2 linked regions of the Lepisosteus oculatus genome follow. The protein of the gene in region 1 purifies or fractionates together with the protein of each later gene. This does not show direct contact. Links are inferred from orthologs where the notes say so. Each region holds a gene or a part of one and is shown on either strand. Other genes may lie near its edges. The genes, in order: usp25 and kctd10.

Region 1 (10,136 bases):
CCCTACCTGCAGAGCTTGCTGTAAAAGCTGGACATCTGTGGTTCCGGTGACCTCTCGGAGCTGGTTCAGAAGTGTCTGCTGGTGCTGTGAGGGGACAGCAAAGAGAAAGCATGACACGCCAAAGCCCAACCTTTCACTTTTACTTCACAACCTGGCAACACAGGGTTGACATTCTCATTGGTGCTGTCCGTGCCACTGCTTCTAATGGTAGTCAGATTCATGGGGCACTCCAGCAGATCAGAGCTCACTCTTGGGAGCATCAAACTGCTGCAGACCACAAAGAGGATTAAGTCCATTTTTTTTCCTGATTCACAGACAGAAGACCTACTGCAATATCACGTAGAGAAATTAATGTCACAACTTGAAACAAATGCTTCAATCATATTCCATATTCCACATATTCCAGTTACTGATCGGTTTTGGTTAGCACTAACAAAAGGGCCAAATAAAAACAAAGAGCATGCTATACATGCTAGTAACTCAATAAATCCTAATGTTCTGAGAGCCATTTGCTTAGAAAGCCAAGATTTATCACAAGAATACTTTCAGCTTAAATAGTGTGTTGTATTAAGTCTAGATTACTAATTAATTGCTTTTTTATGAAGGAAATAAATTAAAGTAGGACTGAGATACTTTGACACTGATTTCCTCCCTATGGTCTCTGAAACTCTCAATAATAATATGCTAATTTGAAAATAAGCAAAGAGTGTGCAAGACAGGCAAATAGATAGAGCACAGATAGAACATAAAAAATATCTTTTACATCCACCCATTTTCTAATCACTTTGTTTACTACAGGGTCGGAGAGGATCCAGAGCCCATCCCAGCAAGCATGGATGCAAGGCAGGACACACCCCGGACAATATCTTTAGTGCAACGTAAAGACTGTACCAGCCAAGCACAAGCTGAGAATAAGCCCTCTTACTAGTCACATGATTTGAGGGATGCTGTGGTGCTGACTCACAAGACTGTAACCAACACTCAACATGTAACACTGCTCTTACAACTGCCCATCCAAAATAGCATTTCTAGACAAGAGTGCCAGCGGACACCAGAACTAAACTTCTGCTGCTCAGAGAAGCCTCAGCAAAAGCAGAACATGTAAGGAGCTGCATCTCATTCTATAAATCTAGTGAGCTATGCTGGTTTAAGAGCACTAAATTCTCATATCAATACTTCTGAATTGGAAACAAAAATTATGGAAACGTAATGTGCTCCACGGTATATTAAGCAACCAAAACAGTGGCTAATGTCACAGAAAAACAATGTTACGGGAATGTTACTGTTAAAACAGCTCAGTGGTCATTCTTTGCTGCATAACTAGAAAACTTTGAACACCTTAAAAATAAATGCATGTCACCGAGATGTACTGTGCATAGTATATGTGAAGATATTCAGGAAAACACAAAACCTGTTAAAAGCATTAATGAGTACTTCTTACAACAACTGCCAAAAAAAACTGACTGAATCAATGTGGTCAGAGTAATGGCCTAAAATGACCAAACTAATGAGCTATTGCAGCGACTATAGCATCCTCCATTCAGACTGTTTCGACTGTGCATGGTTGAAGTCTCAACAACTATTGTATTGGAGAAAAATAAATACAACATTAACAGAATAAACTACTGAAATTTGTTTTAAAAGTCTTTTACTATTGTTAAGTCTTGGTCTTTAGTGGCAGTTGTCAAAAATTGTGCAGAAATGGTCAGTTCGTATTACTCTTGGTCTTCATCTGCTTCAGTACGAAACATAGCAGCACTGCAGCCTCGTAGGATATAGTCCTACCTTGCGCCCTACAGTTCTGGGGTATAGACTGAATTAACATGATCCTTACCAAGAATATGCATTCTTCTGATAAGGTTAAAATGACAGCATATTAACACTGAATCAACAGTGAAACACAAACCAGAGGACACATGTGGAAGCTACATGAAGGTGCATCTGAACCCAGGAAAAGCAGGCAATTTTCTGAGACCATGGGACAGCCTCCCCAGCCATGCTGTTGAAGCAGATACCCTGGCTTCTTTAAAAAACATCTGGATCAGCTTGGATCAATTAGTTCCAAACCACCAAAGAGGCTAGATGGGCCATTGTTTGTAACCTCTCTAAATAGTTAATGACTTTAATGATTCGTAAAGTCAATGAGTCAATGTTATTTCCACATTCGACCTAGATATAGTACCAGTGGAGCCAACTCTGTACACATCACAGTCTTAAAGTGAACTTGGCTTGACCATGTCAGAGGAGCTCATTTTTGTTTAGCTTACCTTTTTATTTTTTACAAGGTGAAGAAGGTGAAGAACAATTATCCATGCAGCAGAAAATGTAAACCCATATCAGTGTCATTTCTCCATAGTCTGTATATACAACTATTCATTCAACTTAAAGCAAGATGTCTTCTACCATACCACATACTTTAAAGTGAGCTACGCTTGATTTGAATCAACTAAGGACTGAAATTCAGTTGTTTCTGCTTGTGGTAATACTTTTGGTTTCTGATTCTGCAGTGTCTTGGTTCTGTGCACTACCACCTGCATGCGAAAAAAGTATCCTATATCAATTTGCATACTCACAAAAGTTAAATGAACTACAGAACAGACTTTCTGAGATTTATGTTAAAGTGTAGCCAAAAAGACTTCTCAGACACACAATATATATGGATCTTCTCGCAGGAGGCTGCTGGTTAAAGAATAATCCCTGTACATGGTTATAGCTTTCTTTTATGTTTTCTTTCCACTTCTGTAGTTAAATAGCCCACTGTATAGATTTAAATTTAAAAACCTTTAAAAAAAGGCTTAATTAAACCGTGATTTTATTAATAAAGGGCTTAAGCAACTGACCCAAATCAAGAATCCAGCTAGAATAGAAAACCACAAGATTCTAGGTTTCCAATGAACACAGAAATCCTATACCACTCCCTCTCGTCTTGTCCCTGTGGCTTGTGTCTGTAATACGTAGGAAACATTAAACAGTACTTAGCCCACAGTGCCTCTTGCTCCAGAACATAATTATCAATTCTGGGAGCCCATTTGGCTATTTTGCTTTGCCCCTTGCTTGTTGTTCTACTGAAGCAAATACAATAATATTTTCACTTTAATACTATACATTTAACACAACACCAATCCCCTTCAGGAATATATTAAGCTAACATAGACAGATATTAGTAATAAATCTAACAAATGCACCAAACGCTGTGCATTAACTATATAGAAATGGAAACCAGGAGTAAAGGAATCTGCACACGCTTGCTCGGGTACTACAGTTCAGAAATCACAGCAGGGCAGTGAAGGCTGGAAGAGTTATGTAACTAATTGCGGGCTCAATCCCAGACAGTTGCGTTTACAAGCTTAACTTCTTGATCTCTACCGGGCTTTATTGTAAAATCTGTTTCGAATGCCGAGGAGTTACAATGAAACATCACTATTTAATAATCAAACGCCAGGCATGCTACTATTACCATCAGTAACTATACAGTACTGAGGACACGCACAAACTACAGGAGATCTCCATTACGATTGCTACACACAACTAAAAAGACGGTTTTCTGCACGTTTGTGATCAATACATCACATTTATATCCCGACTACACAAACAACAACAGTCACTTTTCAACACCTCTCTTCAGATCCGGGTTGTTAAATAGAATTATAGGAGGAGATAAGAAAACGATACTTAAACGATAGTAACTAAAAAAAAAAACCGAAAACAAGCCATCTGGCCCTGGCTCTGGCTCGTGTTAGTTATTCGTCAAATTATCGATGAAACGCAAGATCCATCCGAGCATTTTAAGATAAAGTGTAGCGATTACGACTATGCTCACTTCCTAGGTATATTTTAGGGTAACTGGGTTATTTGCTTTAGGAATGCAGCAAATTGCACGGCTTTAAAAACGATGAAGGCAAAGCTAATGAATCCTCGACGTCGAATAACCCCGCCTAGCGCCAAAGTAATATTTTCTCCAGTGTTACAGCTCGCTCAGGCAGCGTGGAAGCGCTGTCCTGGAGAAGCCGGAGACTCGACTGGCAGCGGCGCCGGAGACCGTCCACCCTGCCGGGCACTGAGCCACAGCCGCGGCGCTTCTCGGCAGCAGCTCCCCAACACCCACCCTACCTTCTGAGAGTGCTGCTGCAGGACATTCTGCTCCACGGTCATGGCCGGCACACACAACCAAACCAAACTTAACAGGAAAATGGCAAGAAATTGAAAAAAAAAACATATAACTAAGATGTCCCCCTGTTTATCAGCGCACTAGCGGGAGCCATTGGCAAGGTAGGAGAAAAGTCAACACAAGCCCATCGACACCCAGGCTCTCTGAGATCAGCTAGTTTGGCCTTGACTGGCTGCAATGACGTATAATCAGACAGGCCCACAAACATGGCGTCAGCGACCCCGTGGTGCGTGTGTCAGTTTTTGAAATGTAATGTACAGAAGTGAGAATTTAGCTAAACCTCCGTACCCGGGAAGCGTGATGAATGGAGTAACCTCTATTTAAGTGATTGCATGATCCGTGCAATTAGGATTCATTTAATATCTAAACATATGTTGGGGTCTGTAAAAATAATGCCTTAGCCAAGAGTTTGTGTGGTTAACAGTGGGGCAAACATTGTAAGAGTAAAAAAGACAAAAACACCTCTACAGCAGACGAAGCAATCTTCAGTTTTATGGACGAGTAGAAAATGAATGTTTTTTTTTAATGATTACCAAACTGCTATGCCAAATAAAATATACTCTTGTGAAGTTGAATACCTTCTCAGATTCCTCACCACGAAGAAAGAAACAGAACACTTTTTGAACCTGTTTAATGTAGGTTGTTTCTCAGAGTTCGGTTTTTCTTCGTAACAACATTCAGCCACATTTCCCTTCCACTCCTTCCAAACAGAAAAGAAAGGCTGAGTTGCTATCATGGATTTTATTAAAACTGCAGCTGGACAGTGCAGCCCGTGAGCAGGTTGTATTAGGCTCCAGTTTTGCCTCTTCAGTCTAAAGCAAACAGTTCTGTTAATACTTTGGTGTAAAGATCACTGTCGGGAAGGAAAAGGCACTATATCAAGGAAAAAACACGCCTCAGAAATCTTCAGAAAGAGTACCAAAGCTGAAATTGTCAAAGAGATAAGTATGGGAGCTGTGACTAGGGTAACTGGACAGAGCACTGCCCCTCCTGCCTCCCAGGGCTTTCTGCAGACCTCCTGCTAGTTCACTGCTGCTTCACAGGCCACTCTGGCCCTGGATTTGGAACACTGCAGCATGGACGCGCCCAGCCGGTCAGCAAGCAGGAAAGGGTTGAGGTGGGAATACTGAAAAAAAAAGAAGAGACTTTAAAAGTCTTTAAGACTTTAAGAGTGGAGGCATGGTGGCTTTAAGAAAATAAAAACAGGGGACCTCAAAGATTTCAATGATTCACTTAAGCAATAGATTATTAAAATAATTCTTATCTGGGATCATGGGTTCCAGAAACAACTAATATTGTGAACAAAACATTTAAAAAACACAGTACATCTTAATTTCCCAGTAAACTAGGAGCCTCATCTAATTCTGTATTAAAGAATCAACATCAAATGTAGTTTAAGTATAAAAGTGGAACATAAAAGCACACAAATGTATTACAGGTTTAGTATAAATTATCTTAAAAATACTGGGCCACCTGTCATACTTCAGAGTCCTGGAGACAGACCCACATTCATTTCTCATTTAGATGAGAGCAGTTCAAAACTGGTTTACAGTTGAATTTTGGATGTGGTTTGACTGCCTTTTACATTCCAACTGTGAAAAACAAATAGTAGGTGGTCATTCATATCACTCAAACCACACACTAAAAAGATTTCTACATTACATGAGTGTTCAGCAGGGGATATGCAAGTTGTGTGGGTTGCCTCATGTAGCACAGTGGCAGTGGGCTGCAAGATGTGCCGAATCGGTTGCTAAAAAGTGTGGTGTGACCTTCTGATTGAAGGTGCTTGTGTAGGCTTGAGCCTGAACAGTAGTTTCTGTGAGGTGGAAATTAGGCTACAAGCTGTAGCACAGCAATTACCAGGAGATTTGGCTGAAGAATTAAAAAATAATAAAATATGAATATACTGTAGGCACAATGGTCAAGAGACTTTTCAGGATTTCAGACATGCATACTATGTTTGTGTAACACAGGGGGATTTGACAGAGACTACTAAATTCAAACAGAAGAATCTCTAATGACATAAAATGCACCTATCACAATGAGCCAATGTTTCACATGAAACACTGGCATTAGGCTGCATTTCCCCAGGCTCTGCAAGGAAATGTCCTCACCGGAGGTGAAATCTCCTGGACGGTCAGAGGAGCATCAGCGTTCAGAATGGAAAAGTCAGATGAAAAGCGGGAGTACTGGAGAACAGAAGCCGTCTCGGCATCCACCTCAACAGCTACACCTTTCTGGAGACAAAATGCTCTCACTACGGTATCAAACAGAACATAGCTCTGCTATAGAGCTGAACTAACCCTGCATGGAAACAAATACGAGCAAATGTTAATTTCATAAGATCAGCTATCCAGTTTCAGTGGTATCATATCAGCAACAAGGCAGTCAGACCAGTCACAGCTATAGGCAGGACAGCTCACTTCTTTCAGTAGTTACTGACAAGGAACTCTGCACTAAAACTCGCTACCTCAAATCTCACTGAACAGATTTTAAGAATGAAAAAATAATTTCCAAATACCACAGAAAATTTTATTCTAGGTTATCACTGTGCATCACCAAATCAGTGAAACATGCTGCACCATGCTTTACACTTGCCTTAATGGATTATTTACCAGTTTACTGGAACAGTAAATCATGGCAAATTGGTTAAAACAAGAGGAGGCCCATCTAATCCATTTTGAAGTTAGTAGTTACTTGATCCCAGGATCTTATCCAATTGTTTCTTGAAAGAAGCCAGGGTTATCAGTTTTAACAACAAGGCTGGGTAGCTTGTTCCATAGTTGCACAACCCAACAATGTCAAAGAGGAGTGGACACTGCTTATTGTTTTCTTTTCATTACAATCTTAATGGAGGGATACACATTGTTTCCCATTCTAATCTGATCAGATGTTTAACTCAGAAACGTGTCTGCACTCAAGGCAGAATTTCTGGAGAACATGCATACCTTAAAGGTGTGAGAAGCATCAAACACCAGCTGGTCAGGATGGTCAGACACGGTCCCTTGGTATGTCATGATGGCATTTCCATTAGTTCTGTTTTTTGGCAATTTAAAGACACGGTATGTCCCAGATGCATATGTAATATCACCTAAGCAATAAAAAAAACATTTAATACTGTAAAAGTAAGTAAATTAGCACTCAAATCAATTATGTAATTTCTGGCATTAGTGTAACAGAGAGCCAAAATTTGTCACTTCCATGGAATAAAGTGTAAATTTTCAGCAGAAATAATTTGTTCTATTTAAAAATGGAAAAACAGAACCCCCCATCTGGATGGTTAAACAGGAACATATGGACCAAACCTCTGCCTGTTGCTTTTTCTTTGCCTTTTCCAGCTCATAGTTTCTAGTGGCTGAGTGTGGCACAGCCCATGAAGGAAAGCTCCAGGAAAACCACTAACAAACACACTGTAGAATATTCAAAACTGGGTCTTTTAAATGCCCCACTGGTTACATAACAGCACCTTTTGAGGAAGACTAATTTCATAACACCAATGTCGTGCAATGAGCCTGTTCAAGTTCATTGTCATTATACTCATATACAGGTATATGGTTTAATTAAATGCTATTTAGCTAGCTCTCAGACAATAAGTAATACAAAAAACAACAATACAATTGTATAAGAAAAGAAAGACCGAGACAACAGGCAGTGTGCAAAATCATAATGAGATATTATAATATCAACATAATGAAATAAAGGATAGAAAATTATGGGGAGTGAGCTACTTGAAGTGAGGTAGGGGTAGATTTCAAGGTGTTTGAACCTACAGTGCCTTCTCTCTTACCAGATCGTAGGTGAGAGAGGCTGGGAGTTTAATAGTTTGATAGTGCGGGGGTAAAAACGGTCTCCGAGTCTGGTAGTCCAGGCCTGAATGCTCTGGTACCGTTTTCCAGATGGTAGAGGCTCAGTCTGTAGCTGGGGCGTATGGGGTCTTTGATGATGCTTAGAGCTTTCCTCAAGCACCGTCTGTCATTTATGTCCTGTATGAATGGGAGGGCAACCCCAGTGATGGACTGGGCACCAGCTGTAAGGCTTTGCGGTCAGCAATACTGCAGTTGCCGTACCACACTGTGATACAACCTGTCAGTGTGCTTTCTGTAGTGCACCTGTAAAAGTTAGTGAGGATCTGGGGACATATCTTAACCTTCTTCAACTGTCTTTGGAAGTACAGGTGCTGTTGCGTTTTCTCGATCAGACAGGTGGCATTGAGAGACCATGTGAGGTCCTCAGTGATATGGACGCCAAGGAATTTGAAGTTACTGACACTTTCCACTTCAGTCCCATTGATGTGGATAGGGGCATGTCCGTTTTGCAGTTTCTGAAATCAATGATCAGCTCCTTGGTTTTGCCGACGTTGAGGGTGAGGTTGTCTTCACACCATGTTGTAAGGACCTCCTCCTGGAAGGCCCTCTCATCATTGTCTGTGATCAGACCTCCAACTGTGGTGTCATCGGCAAACTTGATGATGGAGTTGGTGTTGTGTTTGGCCTTACAGTCGTGGGTGTAGAGCAATGGACTAAGCACACAACCCTGGGGGATCCCAGTGTTCAGAGTAGTGTGCCAGAGGTGTGGTTTCCAAGCCTGACAGCCTGAGGTCTGCCTGCCAGAAAGTCCCAAATCCAGTTGTAGAGGGTGATGTCGGGACCAAGTCGGGATCAGGTCCTTCAGCCTTGCGCGTGTTCCAATTCCTACTTACCCGTTTTTTCCAAGAGTTCACGGTTACGTATGACAATGTGGCTGGCAGCAACAAGGTAGGGTCTGCTGAAGCCTATATCCTTCACCAGTGATATCAGGTCCATCCAGTACAGGGAGCCACCCAGGCCTTCCCCTGCGACAAATCAAACACACCAGTGATTATCCGCCCCCGACCACTGATTTACTGAGAAATGCTGACAGCAACTACAGCCGAGAAACTCCTCATCCCGCTTCATTTATGGATCATTTCTCATATCGGAAATTCAAAACAAATTGACTGGAGATGTTTCTGCAGCAAGAATTCCAATTCTCCATAAGGTGTTTAAAATTTCATTCACATTTTTATTTTACAGAGCACCTTCTCAAGGACAGCCTCAGTAAACTGCTAAGTCAGATACAGGAGTGAAAGTACTATGAATTTCAGGCATCTACAAGAAGCCTACAAACTTAATGTAAAAAATTCCCCACCAGCCCTTGTGTGTTAATTTGGATGTTAAAAAAAAAACATCAGAAAGCTACAGATATGCATCTTTACATGTATACATACTGTATATAAATATATCAGAAGTTGTGTTTAGAGGATCGAAGGAATAGGAGTCTGAAGGGTTTATAGATTGTCGTCTCCTTGAGAAAAACCTGGGTGATAGTTATTGAAATAAATGTACCAGCTGATAGAGGGAAAGTGCATTTTTAAAAATTCAATCTTTGAATTATTAGTCATTAATTTAAATGACTAATAACTAAATGATTTCCAGTAATAGATATGAACAGATGAATTATTCAGTACCTGTGAATTAAAATAGACTGATTTGTAATCATTCAAATGGTACGTTTACCCCAAAGAACTTCATCTTGCTTTACATTTTCAGGAACAGTCTTGCTAGCATACATGTCACTGAAGTACAGTTCGCCCCCTTCCTGCAACAGAAGGAATTATTTTTTAGCCATTATATAGTGCATGAGAGCAATACGACTTCATAAGTAACTTCTACTCTGACTAAGTATGGTAAGAGCTCTGATCTCATGTTATGTTTGATGGGCACTAATGCAGTCATACAGTGCTGGATGGGAAGGGCATTATGGGCTTTCCAGGAGCAGCAGTGAGGAGCTCCAACATCCCATGTACACAGATATGTGCACCTTCATGCGGCAATACCAGCTGAACCCATTACTGCTTCCTGCTAATCACAGTCCTTACACCTTACAATAGGAGTTCAACATTCATTCAACAAAGGGAATGTACAGGAAGACAAAGAATACTGTCCGCCTG
Region 2 (9,916 bases), on another chromosome or scaffold:
TAGGGATCCTTTAGAAAGAGAGGGTCTGGCCCTTGCTAATCCGTTTGTTAATAAAATCTAGAAGAAATATGAAAAGAAACAAGATTGTCAGTCTACATTACAATTACACTATATCCGGTTTTATTTTTCATATTTGAATGCATTACATTTAAGAACTTTAAGCTACCTGCAAGACAGTATAAAAGCCCTTCTGATTGAGATGCCCCATGATGTTCTCACAAATACGGTTTAGAGCAGGCCGAAGAGCTTCCCCTGCAAGAAGAGGTACATCACTTAAAGCCAGGGACAGTGTGTGTTACCCTCTTATGCATGCATTAAAAAGATAATCTGACAAAACTATGAACGGGAAAGTTCTAGCAAACTTTAAAATATCAGAAATACACAGAGAATATGTCTGAGAGAAAACGTCTGCAAACCGATCTGCTGACACAAGAAGTCTACAACATCTTTATAGGACAAAAATCCTACAGTTACAGGACTGTAAATGTAGGATTTTATTCTGAAAACAACTGCAGACATTACGGGAAACATCCCAGATCCTGAAATGCCCAACACTCACCCTTCCCTCTCACATTCTTCCAGTTGGATGTGTCTGTGAAAGTCACTAGCATAGTGAGGTACAGAGTCACCATTTTGTTGTCTTGAAGGATATCAGGCTGAAAGAAAGATCAAACAAATCAACCAAATACCCTCATAAAATGCTAACCAACACCTTTTTGTTTTACCAAACCACGGACGGTGTAGGCTAATTCACTTCTTCCATGTCAAGCAAATAGCACAGTATAAGTATTTACAAATGTTTTCAAAGAATGTTAGTGAATTTGTTATGATTCACATGTCTAAGACAAGTTTCAAACGTGAATATGACAACACCAAATTGGATATTTCTCACCAGTGCTAGTTATTTTGTTGATGCTATAATTAAATTTCTCAAATGTTTGTAATCTTATGCAAAAAAAAATAGTTCTGACAGCAGAAGGGATTATGATTTACAGGATTTTAATTGAGGAAAACCTACTGACCTTTAGCTTCTTCAGGAACTCACAGGACACCCACAGGATATCTTTTATCTGCTTGATCCATTGGATGGTGAGGTCTTTTGAAAGAGCTAAGGACACATACCAAACCTATGGACATACAGAACACTGAATTTAAAATGTCAACATCAGTCAGGAACATGAAATAATCCAGAATAAGAGATCTGGAATACAGAATGTGTACATTAAAAACAGAGAATGTTTAAAAATGAAATTAACATTGCAAAATGTGTTTTTTTAGTTGAGTAAAAAGAAAAAAAAAACAGGTCCAGGGAAACTATTATCAGGAAAAATTAGAAATGTTTACCTTGGGTTCGTTTTCAACTTCCATACTCCCAAGTATACAGCGACACAATTTCTCAAATCTCTAGATAAAAATAAAACGAAGCCAAACAATCAAAACATGATGACTTATAGGACAAACATTTCAACTGACTGCAAAACACTGTGAATACATACCACATTTCCACCACTTCATACAATCCAGACGTTAAATGAAACATTAAACACAAGGAAAACTGACATCATGAGACTACACAAAAATCCCAAATCCTCACACACCGTTAAAAAACGACAATAACCTGACAAATTCACTACTAGATTCTCTGCGTTTCTCCGCAAGATGAGAAAAACAAAGTCTAAAAGAGATAACACTCACCACTTTGTCTTCTTTTAAGTTGAATATAAATAATAACTTTCTTGCAATTTTAAAAATGGAAAGTGCATTTCTTTTCCAAGATCCAGTATCACAGGCTTCGAAGAATTCATCTACTTCTTTCCTAGGGAATCAAGAGAGTGAGCAACAGTCTGGTTACCGTACAGCTCATACTGCACATGCTGATATTTTGGGGGGCAGTTAAGTCATTTAAGAAGCAGGGTGATGTACACTTGCTGCAGTGTTCTGACGGACATGACAAGGGGACCCCAGTCTAGCAGTGCCCAACACAGAGAAAGCTTGCTGGACTGACCGTATCTGCTTCTGCAGTTTGCAGCGGCAGAGGAACCTCCTGACAAGGGCCTGGATTTGCGTGGCCGCCTTCTCCCGCTCCTTCTGGCCCTTCCTCTCCTCACGGGCCTGCCGGGCTTTGTCCAGGAACTGGGACTTGGACGACTGAACTGTGCCAAACATCTTTCACCCCTGGGGAAAGACGGGAAAACGGCACTGACAGACTCACAGCAGGTACAACAAATACCTGCCCATTTCATTTCGGCCCTTTCCTTTTTTTATGAATTATTCTTAATGAAGGAAAAAAAAAACTGCATTGACGATAACATCATGTTTCTGAAAAGCAAACTGTTCTTAAGAGTCATTTCATCTTTTTGACAGCAATTACACTGTCTATGCTGATGCAGTACAAACCTCTGTTGTGGTTTACTACTTTCTCAAGACAGCAAAGTGTACTTAGTTTAAGGACTCGGGACACCATTGTACTGACTTGCAGTCAGGCACAAATAACACGAATCCTTCTGGAAACTGCAGTAGAACCCAAATAAGTCCAGCAAAAGCTGATCAGGGTGTTGTCTCAGCAGGTCACTCTGAATAAACCATCTTGACAGAGGAGGCTGACACACAGCAATGCACGAGCTAGCAGGGATGCTGAACCACCAATCACTTATGTGGAAGTAAAAAGTGGAATCGTTCAGCACACCGCCCAGTTTTAGTAGTGAGAGGAGTTGTGTTATCACAAAAGTGCTAACTTAAGTAGACTGAAATTAGGCTAAGGGCACTGACTTGCAAAAAGAGTTGTGTAACTTTACTAATATTCCTTCTATCTCTACAACATCCCCGAAAAAGACTAGAATAAACTGCAAGCCATCATACAGAAAAATATCATTGTTGCTTATACGAATCATGACGCGTTTTACATGGAACATTTATCAAACATTAACAAGACTGTTTTAAAGCCATCACATAGTTAATGGCGTGTAGTACTGCTAAAATACGTAGACAGCAAGCAGAAAGCCACTTTCACATCCATACACTGCAAGGAAACATTTCAATAGGAAGGGCACTGACCTAAGGCGTTTGCTCGTCACAGGAGATTCCCAGTTCATTACAGACACAACAGCATGTGCTAAATTTTCCCTCCAAGGCCCAAAATAGCAAGAGTCCTTCCGGAAACTGCAGTAGAACCCAAATTAGCCCAGCAAAAGCTGATCAGGGTGTCATCTCTGGAAGGTAAAAATAAGTATATACTTTCAATTCCTTTGCGATTCAGCACCACACAAAATACAACATCGCACCTCAGGGTGCGTATAATGTCTTCGGTCGTGTTCCTTCCGAAATAATTATTACTCGCATTTTGAACCCACACAAGTTCAAAAACCTTTTAGCCCTTGGTCCTGACAGCGGGTTGCCTGAACTGTCAAAATGCTGATAAAACCCGTGTATTTACACTTCTAAGAAAATAATACACTACTACTGTGTAACATGAATTCAAAGTTGCCAAGTAACAGCAACTAGAACTGAACCGATGTACCAACATAGAAAACCCGTCCGTTGCCTTTTTCCTGTGCAATATATTTTATATATTGATATAATAAAGCTTAATGGTGTCTACAATCGTACCTATTACTAAATGTTCAATTAATGTTGTTTTCAGACATACTATGTCGCAATTCTTCGCTCTACAAACAACGACAATCATAAACGTGCATTAGTTAGACGATGCGTGAACGCACTCAATCAACAAAATATCAAATGCCATAACCCCTTCAGCTGGGGTAAAAAGATGTAAACAATAAAAACAAAACCCATACACTGAAAGCAGCCATTAATCCTTTCGGTGTTACCACAAAAAACTTCCGGAGGCACAACAACGCTGTTTAATACATCACAAAACATTAAAGATAAAGATCAGAAAATGCAGAGGATCTAAAATCAGTATAATTACAGTCACAAATTTCACGCTATACTGATTTTTTTTGCATTACTCCTTTTAAAATAACGAATTTTCATGCAGCAATGGAACTATTTTTGCATGTGTGGGATTTCTTTCACGGTTACTCCCTCTGCGGGGCGGAGGTGATTTTTAAGCACTCTCTGAGGGGCAAAACAAGCAGCGAAATTATGGACGTTGATATCTAAACTTTTTTTTAACATCTTAACCATGATTCCATATAGCATCCAATCAATATAGGCAAAGGCTTCCACGATGTAAATATTCAGTTGAATTAAAATAATGATTGTGTTTTCGACTTTTAAGTTTCGCAAACGATTGCTGTTTCAGTGCTGGCAGCGAGATCTGGGGTTGGAAAAAAAGTTAAATGTATTGCTTTGGTTAATTACACAGTATTGTCGCAACGTTAAAAAAATCCTTAATGGGATGTATCATAATGTGCAATTACCTTACCGTATACCATATTCTGTTTTTTGTGTGTGCAGATAACACCTTCATTAGAATCAATATAACGGTGTTGTCATAGAGTGCCCAAATAAAAGCGTTAAAACAAATGTGTACAAATGCTTTAAACTCGCCTTAACTTAATACCAACAGTGAACATGAAGCTATATAGCTAAGAATTCTGTTCAGTGCACATAGAAGAGATTCGTCTCAAATGTGTTTTAGATTACCGTGGAAGGACCTGTTCGCTTTTATGTTTTAATTGGTGGATACTGTGACTTGAAAACGAGGTGCTCTTTGGGAGGCGTTTTAAAAACATACGTCCAAGAAAAATGTAAACAAGAAATATTTTGCTCCTTGTACAGTCGGTGTACTAACCACAGCTTAGTGACTGTTTCCTGCCTGAAGCTATCAGATTAATGTAATGATAGGGCAATATGCACAGAGCGAGATGAGTCTATTGTATACGCACTGTTGATTGGTTGGGACTATTGTTTGTTTTTGACGGGTATTTAACGTTGCTTGTTATTTGTTTTACTTACTTTTGTACGGTGATGCCAAAGACAACTTTCTACCCTTTTGAAAGGATAATAAAGTTACGTGTATACTGTACATTATGAATAGAACTCGCCCCTTAGGACGCCCTGACAATCCTCCGATAATTGCATGGTTACGTCATTCCCCCTCCCACGGAGCGTGGAGCCAAACGGAAATACCTCACAGAACCCCCGCCTGTGGGCCGGAAGTGGGTGATTCCTTCTCGTCTGATTTGGGAGTGTTTCTGGGTTCTATGGTAAGAAACAAAGAAGTTTTAACTTCGAAACTATAAATAATCTTGTAGTTTCTCGTGTTGTTTATTAAGCTGCCATTGTGTTTGTAAAGAGCAAAACGCGGAGTTAGCTAAGAAACGTTTTTTTCGCAACGTATTTTTGTTTTTTTTCAAGTAGCGATGAGAAAGGGGATATTTAAACTTCGTAGTTTTTCCGTTCATCACCATTTCATCTCTGTGACAAAGACATCAGGGACTATACGGGAATTATTTATACAGGGTTCTTTAGGATCTGCCTTAAACGTGTTTGTTACTTGAAAATGCATCACCTCTCTTAAGATTGCTCCCAACAGACTTTGGGAGACCTTAAGGAAATGAATTTAGAAAAAGCCACAGTCACAAAAACGCAGTTGAATTAACAAAATCCAGAATGACGAGAACAATGAAGAAACGGCGGAAAGAACCATTCCGTGGTTTAAACGTGGTTTCGATTATAGCGGAATGGTCCGATTTATATAGTTAATTATCTGGCGCTGATTGATACGGGGCTGGGCTATTACTCCCCCTCCCTAACCCACCCCTGTAACATTTAATGAACGTTGGGTGTTTGTTTTTTTAATCCTTAATCCTAAAATATAGTCTTTTGCATGTGGATGGTTGATTTTTATATGCATAGAAAACGTTGAACTCCCGGCTACTGTTCCAGCCTGGAAATCGATCAAATCGTGAATCCACTCGCCAGCTGCGTACTCCAATCCCAGGCTTTCATGGGGGAGGAGGTTGTGTGATTAGTGTAATTTGTAACGTGCAGTTTGCGCCGAGTACGCAAGCTTGTTGGCAGGTACACCTGTAGAAAGGCGTTAAGGCTGCCTCTCCGTGATAACCTGCCTGCGTCACTTCCTGTCCTCAGTACCGTGCCGGTGTTCTCTTCTTGTGCGTCTGCGTGTAGGAAGAGATGTCGGGTGACAGCGTGGTGAGCTCGGCAGTGCCGGCGGCTACAACTAGGACCACGTCCTTCAAGGGCTCCAGCCCCAGCTCCAAGTACGTGAAGCTGAACGTGGGAGGGGCGCTGTACTACACCACCATGCAGACCCTGACCAAGCAGGACACCATGCTGAAGGCCATGTTCAGCGGCAGGATGGAGGTGCTGACGGACAGCGAGGGTACGCAGTCGGCTCCGGCTTGGCATCCCTGCGGGTCTCACTCGCGCCAGCAGGAACACACCGCTGGCACCCGAGCTTGAAGTTGCAATCAGCACACAAGAACACTCAGAGCCTGTACCGCTCAAAACGCTTTGTTGCTAGAGGAATCTTTTTGAAGCTGTAGTGTAGCAGTGATCAGACTCGGTTCCTGGAGAGCCTTGTGTTTTTGTTCCAGCCCGACTTCTTGGTTTCACACTGGGTCTGGTTATTTAACTGCAGTTAAAGTGTAATGTGTTCTCTTAGCTCTGAGGTTAATGTCCCTTTAATTAATAATAATAAATAATAATTCCTTATGCTTATATAGTGCTTTTCTAGAGACTCCACTCAAAGTGCTTTACAGGTGATGGGGAATCACACTACCACCACCAGTGTGCAGCCCCACCTGGATGATGCCACAGCACCAAAGTACACTCTCCCCACACCAGCTCTCAGTAGGGAGGAGAGCAGAGTGATGAAGCCAGTTCAAAGATGGGGATTATTAGGAGGCCATGATTGATAAAGGCCAGGGGGAAATTTGGCCAGGACACTGGGGTAACATCCCTACTCTTTTTGAGAAACACCCTGGACCACAGAAAGTCAGGATCTCGGCTTTACGTCTCATCTGAAGGAGGGGTTATAAATACCCCTGTTTTTTTCATAATCCACCGTAAAAGCCGATAAATGACGTACTGTAGCTGAAGGTGGAAAAGGAATTTGGCCTTTTTAGTATACTCAAAAAAAACTGTGTGAGAGGAAAACTTTAAAAAAAATTAATTGTTAGAGAAATAAAATAAGTGTAATTGAGTGAAATGTAAGCAAAGCCTGCCTAGGATGCCAAGGATGCTAGGATGTGTTGTAACTCATGTATGTAGTCAGACGGGAGTTCATGTGAGTGTATGTCACTGCAAGGCTGCTATTAAATTGGATTTATTGAGTGGATAATTAAGGTTCAGAAAATTAACCGTTATCTGTAGTATTATATCTTGATTATAGATCTAAAAATACATTTACCAGGAGGCCCATATAGTGCATCTGGTTTTGTGCCTGCTTGGTTCCTCTGTGTCTCGACTGCCTCAGCCATCTGTCTCCTCCCACAGGCTGGATCTTGATCGACCGCTGTGGCAAGCACTTCGGGACGATTCTGAACTACCTGCGGGACGGAGCCGTGCCCCTGCCCGAGAGCCGCAGGGAGACGGAGGAGCTGCTGGCTGAAGCCAAGTACTACCTGGTGCAGGGGCTGGCCGATGAGTGCCAGGCCGCTCTCCAGGTGCAAATCCTACCGCCCGCACGTCTGATGCAAAGGGCACTACCGCCCAGCATGTCCACGTCACACCTTTCACGTTGATCTGTGCAAAGTCTGACCCTCGGCGTTGGTTTTTAATCGACACAAATGCCTTTCTGTTTGTCTTTTAAGAACAAAGACACGTATGAACCATTTTGCAAGGTACCGCTCGTAACCTCGTCTAAGGAGGAACAGAGACTCATCGCCACCTCTGACAAGGTAAGGATCACATTAAAACCCAGGGTACTGTTGGACTGATCATCAGAAAAGTTATACTGTGATGAAGCAGTTTCTGGTTTGATAACTCTGCGTCCATCTCTTGTAGTATTATATCTTAGTCTAGTGACCATTAGACAGTTTTAACTCATTCAAAATGCTGCTGATAGAATTTTAACAATGACCAAGAAAACTGAGCATATTACTCCAATTCTAAGATCCTTACACTGGCTTCCAGTTAGTTATAGAATTAATTTCAATGTATTGCTTCTTGTGTATAAATCACTCAATGGTTAGGCTCAAAATATATTTCCAATATGTTTGACCTGGTAGGTCTCTTAAGATCTTTCTGCAATTTTCCTCACGAGATCAGTAAAGTATCTATCTGTCTTTAGGGACTGGTCAGCAAGTGGTGCCTAGAGTTGAAACTGAACGTGGTGAAATGGCACAGCTCCCGAAGGATCTTAGATGTGCCCCAACCTTAGACATTTTTAAATCGAAGTTAAAAATGGTTTTATTATCCTCTGCTTTTGCTTAGTTTTATTGTGGTTTTAATTATTTCTTTTATGATATTCTTTTAATTATTTTTTATTTTATTTCTGTTTTTTATGGTTTCTATGCGTGTAAAGCACTTGGAATTACCCGTGTGTACGAGAATGTGCTATAGAAATCAATTTGCCTTGCCTAGTGATGTGGTGTGTATTTGAGCATAAAAAAAACTGTTGTGAGAATACTAGAAGTCTTAATTCTTACCGTTGCTGTCTTTTGTATTCTCTTCCATCTGCAGCCTACTGTCAAGCTGTTATACAATAGAAGCAACAACAAATATTCTTATACCAGGTAAGAAAGCTGTCTTGGCTGGTGATGGTGGCGGCCGACTCCCCTGACTGGGCCCAGACGAGCGCCCCAGCCTGCCTCGCATCAGTGCCTTAAAACCTTCGCCGTCTGTCGCCTGCAGTAACTCCGACGACAACATGCTGAAGAACATCGAACTGTTCGACAAGCTGTCGCTGCGCTTCAACGGGAGGGTGCTGTTCATCAAGGACGTCATCGGGGACGAGATCTGCTGCTGGTCCTTCTACGGGCAGGGCCGCAAGATCGCGGAGGTGTGCTGCACCTCCATCGTCTACGCCACCGAGAAGAAGCAGACCAAGGTACGGCCGGGGGGCAGCTGTGGCGGACAGCGTGCAGCAGGGGAAGGAGATGTGGGATAGCAGGAGGCATCGTCACTTGATCTTCAGCCGACAGTGGACAGCCTATGAGAAAATGGTGGACACTGTGTGTCATGGAGACTAGACCTGAGAGATCAGAAGTCAATAATAATAATAATAATAATTCCTCACACTTATATAGTGCTTTTCTGGACACTGCACTCAGAGCGCTTTACAGGTAATGGGGATCCCCTCCACCACCACCTGTGTGCCACCCACACCTGGACAATATGGGAAGGCAAAGTGGGGCTGTGGTGGGTTGGTGTGTCAGGGCGATTGAGTGTGATTTTTCAGGGAAGTGTGAAACGGGAGAGCAAAACTTTCCTTTTGCGTTTGTACGTGGTGATTTTCAAGGTGCATTTCTGTTTTCAGCCTGATGGTTACCAGCTCTGTTGAGACCCCAGGTGAAACGCAGTCAGCCTAGCCCATGTGTAGAGGGTCTCTGTGAGCTTTTGACATGAGTCTTGAAAGAAGCTTCTTTTGGCGAAGCAATAAATGCTTCAACAGTGGTGCTGAAAGGGGCTGCAGTCTGGAGTAATACTGCAGGAGTCAGTTAACTTTTAACTCACTCGTGCTTGATTGTACGCGTATCAGCAGCGGAAGCAGGTACCAGTTCAGGTTTGATATTAGACACCGAGCTTGTCTTGCCCAGCTGGTTATTCTCTGTCACCCCCTCCTCCCAGGTGGAGTTCCCCGAGGCCCGGATCTACGAGGAGACTCTGAACATCCTGCTGTACGAGTCCCAGGACGGCCGGGGGCCAGACAACGCGCTGCTGGAGGCCACGGGGGGCGCGGCCGGCCGCTCGCACCACCTGGACGAGGACGAGGAGCGGGAGCGCATCGAGCGCGTGCGGAGGATCCACGTCAAGAGGCCGG

What was found.
Region 2: the proteins of usp25 (region 1) and kctd10 purify together in Homo sapiens (affinity purification with mass spectrometry; 4 studies listed by BioGRID and IntAct, counting the BioPlex papers as one, with this or other methods). This does not show direct contact. The link is inferred for Lepisosteus oculatus from reciprocal best matches to the Homo sapiens genes USP25 and KCTD10.

Annotation. Positions count from the first base shown.
Region 1 is NC_090700.1:251,679-261,814, forward strand, and holds the start of usp25 (ubiquitin carboxyl-terminal hydrolase 25), read right to left. Parts: upstream 4,334-10,136; 5' UTR 4,153-4,333; coding exon 4,111-4,152; exon of another isoform or gene 3,963-4,110; intron 1,102-3,962; exon of another isoform or gene 960-1,101; intron 85-959; coding exon 7-84; intron 1-6. Other genes in the region: arsenite methyltransferase, read right to left, coding at 5,190-5,294, 6,283-6,405, 7,117-7,259, 8,868-8,999, 9,703-9,784. UniProt on the Homo sapiens protein: Deubiquitinating enzyme that hydrolyzes ubiquitin moieties conjugated to substrates and thus, functions in various biological processes including inflammation and immune response.
Region 2 is NC_090717.1:5,984,814-5,994,729, forward strand, and holds the start of kctd10 (BTB/POZ domain-containing adapter for CUL3-mediated RhoA degradation protein 3), read left to right. Parts: upstream 1-5,071; 5' UTR 5,072-5,171; coding exon 5,172-5,174; intron 5,175-6,099; coding exon 6,100-6,313; intron 6,314-7,428; coding exon 7,429-7,598; intron 7,599-7,745; coding exon 7,746-7,832; intron 7,833-8,616; coding exon 8,617-8,669; intron 8,670-8,787; coding exon 8,788-8,983; intron 8,984-9,723; coding exon 9,724-9,916. Other genes in the region: ube3b (ubiquitin-protein ligase E3B), read right to left, coding at 1-57, 167-252, 560-656, 1,023-1,127, 1,345-1,404, 1,696-1,816, 2,006-2,166. UniProt on the Homo sapiens protein: Substrate-specific adapter of a BCR (BTB-CUL3-RBX1) E3 ubiquitin-protein ligase complex. The BCR(BACURD3) E3 ubiquitin ligase complex mediates the ubiquitination of target proteins, leading to their degradation by the proteasome.